Saccharomyces cerevisiae S288C: one gene and its partners. The gene in region 1 interacts genetically with each later gene. Each region holds a gene or a part of one and is shown in the gene's direction. Other genes may lie near its edges.

The links.
Region 2: mutations in YMR158C-A (region 1) and MAK11 together harm fitness more than expected from each alone (negative genetic interaction), as found in Saccharomyces cerevisiae (one large-scale study listed by BioGRID).
Region 3: mutations in YMR158C-A (region 1) and USE1 together harm fitness more than expected from each alone (negative genetic interaction), as found in Saccharomyces cerevisiae (one large-scale study listed by BioGRID).
Region 4: mutations in YMR158C-A (region 1) and YER187W together harm fitness less than expected from each alone (positive genetic interaction), as found in Saccharomyces cerevisiae (one large-scale study listed by BioGRID).

The regions. Positions count from the first base shown.
Region 1 is NC_001145.3:572,694-575,091, reverse strand, and holds YMR158C-A (uncharacterized protein), read left to right. Parts: upstream 1-1,760; coding exon 1,761-1,898; downstream 1,899-2,398. Other genes in the region: CVM1 (Cvm1p), read right to left, coding at 1-26; ATG16 (Atg16p), read left to right, coding at 164-616; mitochondrial 37S ribosomal protein uS8m MRPS8, read right to left, coding at 2,377-2,398.
Region 2 is NC_001143.9:396,844-400,406, reverse strand, and holds MAK11 (Mak11p), read left to right. Parts: upstream 1-1,656; coding exon 1,657-3,063; downstream 3,064-3,563. Other genes in the region: SPT23 (Spt23p), read left to right, coding at 1-1,575; anaphase promoting complex subunit CDC16, read left to right, coding at 3,159-3,563.
Region 3 is NC_001139.9:315,814-318,653, forward strand, and holds USE1 (SNAP receptor USE1), read left to right. Parts: upstream 1-1,528; coding exon 1,529-2,266; downstream 2,267-2,840. Other genes in the region: ribosome biogenesis GTPase LSG1, read left to right, coding at 1-740. UniProt on the Saccharomyces cerevisiae protein: SNARE required for targeting and fusion of Golgi-derived retrograde transport vesicles with the ER.
Region 4 is NC_001137.3:564,409-567,213, forward strand, and holds YER187W (uncharacterized protein), read left to right. Parts: upstream 1-1,821; coding exon 1,822-2,247; downstream 2,248-2,805.

The DNA.
Region 1 (2,398 bases):
TCCTGTTTCTGCTGCACAACATCCATTATAATAGCGTTTTATATGTTGTGCTAAATTGCTACTACACTTGCTCGCTTTTACTTATTCTGTTTGTAGTTGACCTTTATTTAACGTTGATTTTTGTTATTAACCTGCGCGAATCTGTATTAAGGGCGCATATTCCATGGGCAATTTCATTATAACAGAAAGGAAGAAAGCAAAGGAGGAAAGAAGCAATCCACAAACAGATAGCATGGATGATTTGTTAATTCGTAGACTAACAGATCGAAACGACAAGGAGGCCCATTTAAATGAGTTGTTTCAAGATAATAGTGGCGCCATTGGTGGCAACATTGTCAGCCATGACGATGCTTTATTGAATACACTGGCAATTCTACAAAAAGAACTGAAAAGTAAGGAGCAAGAAATACGAAGATTGAAAGAAGTTATTGCGTTGAAAAATAAGAATACGGAAAGGTTGAATGACGAATTGATTAGTGGAACCATTGAAAATAATGTTTTACAACAAAAACTCTCGGATCTGAAAAAAGAACATTCCCAGCTAGTTGCGAGATGGCTAAAAAAGACAGAGAAAGAGACAGAAGCCATGAACAGCGAAATAGATGGAACGAAATGATGCATCAGTTGTCAAATCGTCACAAAATGCATACAAAAGAAAATAAAATCATTGTGGTGCATATACATGGACAGAATATGAAACGCCAAAGTGTTTGCAATAAAGAGGTGAAAATATGTTAAACATGCTATAGAGAGTACACCTGCAAGTTAAGAAAATGCCATTCGTGTTTTTATCTACTATAATGTAATGTGACAGCTGTTTTAAACCTTTCTTAAGGTCGTTTGTGCGAGAACAGGCTTTTTTTTTGGAGAATGTATCTTGAGAGAAACTCAATAGTAATAACTGGATGCATAAAGAAAATTTCATATGAATCACTACAAATCTTTGGCGTTAGAATTCTATTGGGTAAATTGAACTTTGTAGCTTTTTGATGGTAAACTTGGCGGTTTTGCGCGACCCATGATCCTAAGAAACCCGCAGTTTCTATTAGGATTCACGATGGTCTTTATCTCACCTTCTATTATGTGTAAGTTGAAATGCCCCTTGCTGTTCTTATAGCAGAAAGCTTTTTTTTTCATTTATAGGACTAGCATTTTGGCATTGGAAGGGAAAAAATCATGCTTTCATTGAAAAATGAAAAGAAACATATCGTTATTTTGTGGGAACACTGAAGTATAATTTTTTGTTTCGGAAATTTACCATTGCATAGTGGGTATTTTCATCGAAAGTTGGCTAAAGAATGCATGCGGCCTGTTCATTCTGGTTATGAGCATTTCAATTGGTTAGTATATTGGCGTGAGTGGAAAGAATAGTGGATAAAAACTAAGAGACCCGTTCATTCTCCTGATACGATCTTGCGGTAAACCTTATATTTTTGGGGAGGGTACTGTAATATCTCATAACTCCGCGTATTATTGTGGATGTAACTTGTTGCTGATCCTCTCGCTGAGGCCATCATTATACGTGAGTCGAAGGATGGCCGAAATTTTATGATACTACACCGAAATTAAACCGTCGTCTAATTTAAGATGGCTGAAATGCAAAAACCTGGTTCTTTAAGTGGAAAATAGAAGACTAAATGGTTTCATTGCTATTTATGGTGCAAGAAGATGGCTTAAAGATTAAGAAGCATTAATCAGATTTAATGGAAGCTGAAGTGCAAAGGTTGATTATGTAGCGATCTCTAACGACAATTGTTGGAATGAAAATGAACTATCATCTATCAACTAGTAGTTACACTACCAGTATGTTATCATGTACGGTGTTAGATGATGACATAAGGTATGAGAAACTGTCATGGAAGTTAGACGAAGCTGAAATGCAAGGATTGATAATGTAATAACATAATGACACATATAAAACAGAGTGAAGAATAATCGTAGTACTATTATGTAGAAATATCAATTCCATTTTGAGGATTCAACCTAAAATTCATATGTTTTTCAATATTAAATATAAAGGAGCTAAGATTTGGCGTAGGATCTTCGTCTATAAATTTAGTTGCTGATAAATTATTCTCCATTGTTGCTTTTATTGAGTATTAAAGCATTTAATGCTAGAATCCTCCATAACAGACAGCTTCAGTAGCTCAGTAGGAAGAGCGTCAGTCTCATAATCTGAAGGTCGAGAGTTCGAACCTCCCCTGGAGCACATTTTTTTTCAAAACTTTTTATCACTGCTAGTAAAGGTAATGAATGAAGGACGTTACTGTAGTACTATACTCATCATCATTGTCTGCATTTTATAATATTATTATTTACATGGTCCGTATATTTTTTAATTACACGTATAAATACGGTCATATGTGATTGTTCTATTCATTTTACTCTGCATAGTACT
Region 2 (3,563 bases), on another chromosome or scaffold:
ACTTATTTACCGCCTTCATCTAAACCTGGACCGGTTTTGGTAACCATAGTCGACCCAAGTGAAACGTCTATGAGAAATAATAGCAATAGTAGTGTTTCCACCAGCAATAGTACCAATGACATTCTGCACTTAAACAAGTATACCGGTGAGAAAGCAATCTTTACTTATGTTGATGATACTGATAGGCAACTAATTGAATTGGCTCTGCAAATTGTGGGGCTGAAAATGAACGGTAAACTGGAAGATGCAAGAAATATTGCTAAAAGGATTGTTGGCAGTGATTCATCTCCATCTAATAATAACGCAGGATTACACTCACAGAATAGCTCTTTAAATTCGTACACGAATATGATGCGAAATATAAACGATGAACAATTGATCACTGAAGTTATTAAGTCATTTAAGAGAAATAATAATCTCTCTACCGTCAATCTTTCCATGTGTGACGTTAGGGGTAGAACTCTATTACATCTGGCAGCATTCAATAACTGGTATAGTCTTGTCTCATTACTAATCAAATATGGGTCGCATTTGAACGACCAAGATTTATTTGGTTTTACTCCGCTACATATGGCGTGTATTAATGGTGACTTGAGAATTATAAGACTATTGTTAGAATGCAACGTTAATATTATGAAGAAAACCAGAAACGGCTTTATCGCTAAACAGTTCTTCCTGATGAATTATACTGTCAACAAGACCAGATATTCTAATTATGAAACCAGTCTGTTTGACGACATTCTGACTAGATTAACGAAGAATACAACAGGATCCAGTGATACTCAACCGTTTGAGAGAAATGTATCCCAGTCAAGTTTCAACTCAAGTTTATTTGATGATGACGATGCTGATCATGACTATGTCCAAGAAAGAAAATATTTATTGGCGGATTCCGCTGCCCTTGCCCCCGAACAATCCAACTGTAATGACAATACGTCATTCTCAATCCTAGATTCGGATTCAGGTTATGACATAAGTGATTGTGAATCATCTTCAGATGAGATTGCTTTGGAGTTCTTTAACACCCACAAAATCAAGGACTTCTCTTCAAAGCCAAATGAAATACCAAAAACTACTAAGACTAGCATAGAGCCTGACGGATCTTTATGGAACAGAATGCTAACTCGTTTAAATGACGAGCTCCCAAAGTATGAAGACTTGTTCCCAAAAAAACCCAAAAACTGGGAACTTGGTAGCAAATCTGTGGAGATTGGGCCAGATAATTCTGCCCAAATGACCGTGGATGATTCTCAAACTTCTTCTGAAGACGATGAATTAGAAGCTTTACAGGTCGGGTTCAACACAATCTTTTCCAAGAAGCAAAACTTTCAGAATGATAAGATGCTCCTATTCTTTTGGATCCCCTTAACTTTAGTACTCTTATTATGTTTCACATTATCGAATTTGGGGAAAGATGATGATATGTTTCATAATTTATCCAAAATTGTTCAGGAATATTTAAGAATTGGTTTAGCCAAGGTACTACTAGGCAACGAAAGGATGAAAACCTCTTTTAAAATGCAGTTATCGAAGTTTCAAAACAATAACATTCTAAACGACATGCGAGTCAATTAAAGACATTTTTCTAGCTACATAATCCTTACACTATATAGATTCATTTTTTATTATTTTGCATTTTTGAATTTTATCTTCTTTATGTTACTGAATACTACTTATACTGTCTTCATTTTTTTTTTGCTTAGAATTATAAAGTTCAAGATCAAGGCCGAAAATTTTTTAGAACATGAAAAATTGAAAACTCATGGTACCTCATCTCGAAAAGATCCTAAGGGCCAAGTCAAGAATTCGTGTAGAAAAATGAGTGCTATAGGCGACAAGAACCAATTTCGTATCATTGTGGGCTCATACGAGCACAACATTTTGTGTTTATCCTTAGATATCCCAAATCAAAAGGAAAATGATGCAGCAAAGACACCACATTTTATGCCAATATTTCATTTTCAAGCCCATTCGTTGAGTATTAAATGTTTGGCTGTTTCAAGAAGATACCTAGTTTCTGGATCCAATGACGAGCACATCAGAATTTATGATTTGCAAAAGAGGAAGGAACTGGGTACTTTGTTAAGTCATCAGGGCTCTATTACTGCTCTACAATTCTCACATCCAGCTTCTTCCAGTGAGGATGCTGCTGTTTCAAAGGGGAGCAAGAATAGCAAATGGTTATTATCAGCATCAGAAGACCACAAAATTATGGTTTGGAGAGTAAAGGACTGGGAAACAGTGGGGACTTTAAAGGGACACACGGCAAGGGTTAATGATGTGGATATTCACCCCACCAATAGAATTGCCATCAGTGTTAGTGATGACCATTCTATACGTCTTTGGAATTTGATGACTCTAAGAAATGCTGCTGTACTAAAACTAAGAAAATATAATACAAACGGGACTTGTGTTAGATGGTTAGGCGCCAAAGGTGATTATTTTGCCGTGGGTTTAAGGGATAGGGTGCTTATTTATGAAACTGGATCGGCTAAAGTTTTTAAAGAAATAGTCTTTCAAAGGAAAACTCTTATGCATATTGAAACACATATTTTACCATTCGATAATAAGGAATACCTTTCTGTTGGTATCAGCGATGGTAATGTTCATTTCTATCCTTGTGAGGAGTTATTCGAAAAAGTTGAAGAAAATGAAAAGCAGGAAGATGATGACGACAAGGAGGATATCAGCCCCGCTTTTTCTTTATTGGGTCACACAAACCGTATTAAAGATTTCAAGTTTTATACGAATGAATTTGGTACCTACCTAGTCACCATTGGTTCTGATGGTAAAATTGTCGTATGGGATATGTCTACAAAAGAACAAGTAGCAGTCTACGACTGTGGCGAAAGGCTAAATTGCTTAACGCTATGCGATGAAAGCATTGAGAAATACAACACAATGAAGAAGAGGGATGCTGAAACAGCTGATATAGGTGACCAAAGTGAGGTGGAAAGTGATACCGAAGAATTAAAGAAGATAATGTTTGGTGAGAAGAAGAAACTCAATAAAAAGAAGCGGAAGCAATTGAAGAAGAGTAAAGTATCAGTAGAACTTGAATAAACGCCTTATACATGCGTGCAGCTCAGAATTGTTGCGTACTAAAGTTAGTTTATATGTATAATATAAAATAATTTATCTTAATCGTTAAAGATGATATGAAGTTTTGTCTTTATTGCTGTCATTGTTATATCGTTATTTGTGGAAAGGCTACACATTATTACAAGTCATCAAAAGCCACATCAAACTTGAAATCGTCAAACAGGGTACTTATGAGAAACCCCATGTCGCCTTCGGAGCAACATTCACAACATAATTCTACATTGGCCGCCTCGCCATTTGTTTCTAACGTATCTGCAGCAAGAACACAACAGAGTTTACCAACCGATGCTCAGAATGATCGTTTGCAGCAACCCTGGAACAGAACCAATACGGCTACGAGTCCCTACCAGTCGTTAGCAAATAGCCCTTTAATACAGAAGTTGCAAGCGAATATTATGACTCCGCACCAGCCATCTGCTAATTCTAATTCTAATTCCAATTCCATTACGGGCAATGTTGTG
Region 3 (2,840 bases), on another chromosome or scaffold:
ACTTTGCATATAACAAGGGTGAGCTCGTGTGTAATGGTGTTTTACCTATTGATCAATTACGTGATTATATTGGTCCAGCAGGTTTAGTAGCAGAAAGAATACCAAAGTATTACATTGAAGCGATTTATGGTATCCATATTCAAACCAAATCAAGGGATGAAGGTGGGAATGGGGATATACCAACTGCTCAAGAATTGTTAGTCGCATACGCCAGAGCTCGTGGTTATATGACTCAAGGTTACGGTTCTGCTGATGAACCAAGAGCAAGTCGTTATATATTGAAAGATTACGTCAATGGGAAATTACTGTATGTCAACCCTCCGCCCCATCTAGAGGATGATACACCTTACACTAGAGAAGAGTGTGAAGAATTTAACAAAGATTTATATGTGTTCGACAGATTACCGGACACCAGAAAGGAGCAAGTGCAAAATGCTGCTAAGGCTAAAGGCATTGATATCGTGGATTTAGCTCGTGATTTGAATCAGCTAACGTTTTCAGCTCACACTGGTGGTGACACACAAAAAGAAGCCAAATCTGTTACGCACGGTGGTAAACAAGCTGCATTGTACAATGCCGCTGAGGACTTGGATAGAGACTTCTTCAAGATGAACAACGTCGAAGGTAGATTAAGTACACCATTCCACAAAGTTCAAAATAGTTCAGCTGGTAAGAGACATAACAAAAAAAACAAAAGTAAAAATGCGAAAAGCAAAGTTTTTAGCATTGAAAATAATTAGCGGTAACTAACATATATCTTCTCAAAAAAACTGTGTACTATTATCTTTTCATCTCGCCAATTAATGACAGCGTTATTTGAGAATAGACCTAAGATAATAAAACTATGTTCGTTACCCGGACAAATTTTCTTGGAAGAATTTTTGAGTCCTAGAGATATTATAAAACGGCCCTCTATTAATTTGCTCTTTCTTTCCTCAGTTTAATTCTTCTTTCGAATAAAAAATAAAAATATCATGGCTCTTCAACACATTTCAACATGTTCAAGTAATTTGTGTTAGTGGATGACCATTTAGGGGCTGCTGGCCTGGTTACCGGGAGTTTTTCTTGGATCCAAGCTAGCTTTTCCGTCTGATTATCCTTAAGCTTCACAAATTACAATTTTTCCCACGCATTAAGAAATAAGCTCAAGATGCCTAAAATAAGTTCTATCCCGCCTTTTTTCGCTAACAATGACTGAGTATTCCCACAGTCTATAGTTTGATAGTAGATGGGCGGAAATTTTTCTCATATATTTACTTTTTATAGGAGAGTATATTTACGTACGTATAGTGATTGCATGTAGTTGCTCCCTATATCTTGTCATATGAGCGTGATACTGACCGATACCTGTTACAGATGTCGGTCTGGATTTGTTCGTTTTTCTTCCCTAAAGTAGGTCAGTATATATAAAATATGGCCGGAGGAAAGCTTCACCACTTTATCACCACTAAATTTATAAAGTAGAATACAATTTCAACATACACAGAGAATAAAAAAAGGTTGACAGGACACATAATAGCAAGGCAAGATGGCTGAAACTTCCAACGACCCCTTTCTGTCCTACGTTTTGAGTAGCAAACAATTAACTAATTTGAATCGTCTACGAAGGAAAGCAGTTACAAAACAACTGGGATCAAGTGACGACAATAAGGTCTCAGAGGAGTTTTTGAGGTATCAACATACTTATCAAAGAGAAGCATTTGAATATCTGCAAACAAAACATGACGCCCACAAAATAATGGAGTCACAGTACGAACAGTACCAAAGCAGTTCAAAAACAAGAAGATATAGTATCGATTTAGATTCTGTAGATGCAGTTGACACGGAATCGCAAACAGAATACCCAAATGAGGAGTTTATTGATAGAAACGAAGATAGCGAAGCTGTTATGGAGTTGAGAAAGAGATTGTTGGGGAAGGGACAGAATAAGGGTTTAGGATATGAAACTACGAAATCAGTCGATAGGCAAATTGAGGACCAGGACACGTTGCAACAGGATTTGATTCAGGATATGAGCAAACTTGTGGGCAGTTTGAAGCAAGGAGCTGTGGCATTTCAATCAGCACTTGATGAAGATAAGCAAGTTCTTGGAGCTGCAGAGATAGGTATTCAAGTTGCTTCTCAAGGTTTAATGGATGTTAGCGGTAAATTAAGGAAATATGACAAGAGTAAATTGAGTTACTTGTTTTATATTACTGTTTTCATTTTTATGATTCTCGGACTGGTGTTTACATTTATCATAATTCAATTATTCCCGGCCCTATAATGTAATTATAACGATGGAATGATGTTTTTTGGAAGAAAAATTCAACTGTTTATTAATATTTACGGCATTTTTTCATGTAGTTGAGATTATTCCTATTGAAAAAAGCAAATTGTGAGAAAAAAGTATACAATAAAATTTGTATAGGCTGCAGAATTCTCCTTTCCGTATAGTTGCCTACTTCCCGTCTCAAACTGAATCCTGCTATCTGATTGCTTTCTGTGTTGGTGCGGTGAATCTTTTTATACATATAATATTTGAAAAAGAATAAACATTTGAGAAAACAAAAGTAGCTAAACAAAACGACAAAATCATAACATTTCCTGATCTGACTGAAAGCTAATAGAACAGCAGTGTTCGATGAGGGTAAAATAAGGAGGGGTCTTCGGTTACGTTATACTAGTAAGTTGATTTTGATTTTAAGTCATATTATTGAACGCATTATGATGATACTCATAATGGACTAAATTTTTCTCATGTATAAGGTCCATAGTAGCCAAGTGCATTCCATTACAATGTTATTGATATTATCTGTGCTCTCAAATTCGGCTGAAGAAAACTACTACAAACACAACAC
Region 4 (2,805 bases), on another chromosome or scaffold:
TTCTGGGAAAGGATAGTAAGAAGCCTTTTTGATTACAAAACCGTGAAAGACGGTTTAGCAGCTTTTACAGGAAACCTGCTTTACCTTAGCCAGTGTTTTCTCATCTTCAAAAAAAAGTATTGTACGCAACTCTTCCATCTAGCAGAGCTCCCGCTCTTTTTCAAACAAGTTTCATTATATTTATTCTTAATAATTTTGGTATCATCGAGGTGAGGTCTTCGTTGTTTCAACACCAGCTATTTTTCAGCGGCTTACAATTACGTAGTTCTATTAACGAATACACTGGGAGGTGAGTATAATCATGGACTGTAACACTATACGACTCCAACACGTTATATGTATCAGTTATATATATATATTATATTATTTTGGGAAGAGTAGCATTGCTTTTGAAAGTACACGGGGTTTACTTTGGCTCATAGAATGGGTCTGGATATGAAATTCTGAAATATTCAGATTTTGGAGTACTGAAAATATTTAGCAAGAATTTCAAATATTAGTTAGTAAACCAAACCAAGGCATCTGAACTTGAACCTCCATAACTCGCTTTCTAACATAATGAGCTTGTATGACATAATATTATAGAACTCGAGGTTAACCTTTAAATATAAATATAGTAATCTTCATGATAATAATTTCAGGGTAGTGCGCGTATTTGTCGAAAAAACGCAAAATGACAGAAATTCTATGTTTACTGACTTTAGATTTTGTTTTAGATCAATTGGCGGAAAAAGGACGCAGTCTGTAACTTTGATTGGCATCTTGATTTGATTTGTTGGGTGGTTCTCTTACAATCAATGGTTTATTTCATGGAAAGCTTGATGACATGTGATAGCACACCATGCTAATTAGTGAAAAGAGTCCTTGTTGACTTACCACATGTGCAGCCGCCTTTTACCGTGGTGCGAAGCATATTGAGCGGCCTGGAGACCAAGAATGTCAGGGCCTTTAAACAATAGAAGAAGTGTATAGGAAAAAACTAAGGTGTTTTGAGATATTTTTTATAAAAGTAGTATTTCTTAAAAATCAGCGGGGAGCCATTCTTTGAAGGCGCGCTTGCAAATTTTAGGTATTGGGCTTGATTATTTTGGCAAGTGTCATGCATTGTAACAAATCTATATAAAGTGACAATTCTGGAACACTGTATCGTAATCCCAAATAATGTATGTAGAATAGAAAAAAATATATGAAAAAATGAATAGATCATACACAGACGACATGAATAGCAGCCCTCCAAATTACTTGACAACAAGGACGTTTAGAATCGTTAGATTGTTTGCAATAATTTTTGCACTGCTTTTGGTAGCGTACTCATTATTTTTAAGCACACTTAGAACTGGAGCTATACCTGACCGCGCCAACACTGCTGCTCTAGTACGGCGAGCTAGGTGATCATTTGCGACTGGATTAGGACTAGGAGGATTTTTAATTGCTGCAGCCGCTTATGCTACTCCTTACTGGGTCGCAGCAACCTGTATCGCATCCACTAGCGGAATATGTTCACCTATAGCTGGTGCTGTTTTAGCAACTTCAGCAGTTATAGTTGCAGCAGTTTTAGTGGGAAAGAGTTCTGGCTCAGCAACAAAGCGAGGGTTAAGTGAGACTATTAATGTACTGAATCATACTATAACACTCACTGATCATGTGCTCAATGGGCAAACATTGTCTAATGGTACTGGTAGTAATTTTGTTACAATAGAGTTTAGTGGGTATGCAGTACATGACACTATTAAACGTGACGGTGCTGCTGAGATCAACTTTGTGGGGTATACTACGGAGCATGGAACCCACATCAGCACGAGTAGCGTACATAATGTGAGCATGCTCATCGATCAAATCGTGGCAGCGGTACCAGGGGTACCTGATATAAGTGGCAACGCTTCGGCCCTATCGTTACAGAGACGCAGTCAAGAGTTCGCCACCTCATGGATATCAATGACATATAGTCAGAGTTATGGTGACCTGGCACAGAACTGGCAGAATGACGAAGGTGGAGCAGGAAATTTTGATTCTTATGCTGAAGAGAAGTTACAGAATTTCTTTTCAGGTAATAGGGATTGGAAATACTGCTTTGCTGCTGAGGACACGAAAAACGGTGAGCCACTTGATTACGATGACATACCTGGTGACGGTGCAGGCACGGGTTCGGCATTCAAGTCTGAGATATATTTTAACACTTACGGTGGTATAGATAATTATTGTAATGACGAGCATATCGGTGCTCAGAACACTGGAGATGGTCGATAAAGCTTTACGCCTGTCGCTGAATTGACTGACCCGAAATTAAGAACTGTTGACGTAGTGAATTACGATCTAGTTTATATGTCATAATGTAGTAAGTTTATTGGACCCTTCTATATGTTATGTAAATGTAATAATTACATAGTTACTGCTTTTGTACATAGAAACTATAGTTTCTTAAGTACTACCGGATTAGAGGTTTGCTACTATATGTTTTCCTTGTCTCAAGCATTACTGAAACAACTCTGAAACAATACTAAAACATTACTCATATCATGCTTTTGGGTTACCACATTCAACAATAACTCGAATACATTTATAAAAAAAACAAAACTAAGGTACAAAACACACACCACACCACATACGCGCTGATTGGTTTTATGGAAGCTAATAGTTCAGACATAGCTCAGAAAAATAATAATAAGTATTATCAAATATAACTCATCTGGTTACATGCTAAGTTCTTGTCAAGTGATATAGCGTTATCTTTATTATTGAATTAAATTCTATAATTAGAATTCGACTACACCAACTAATGACTCTAAAAAATATGTGATTGCCCTT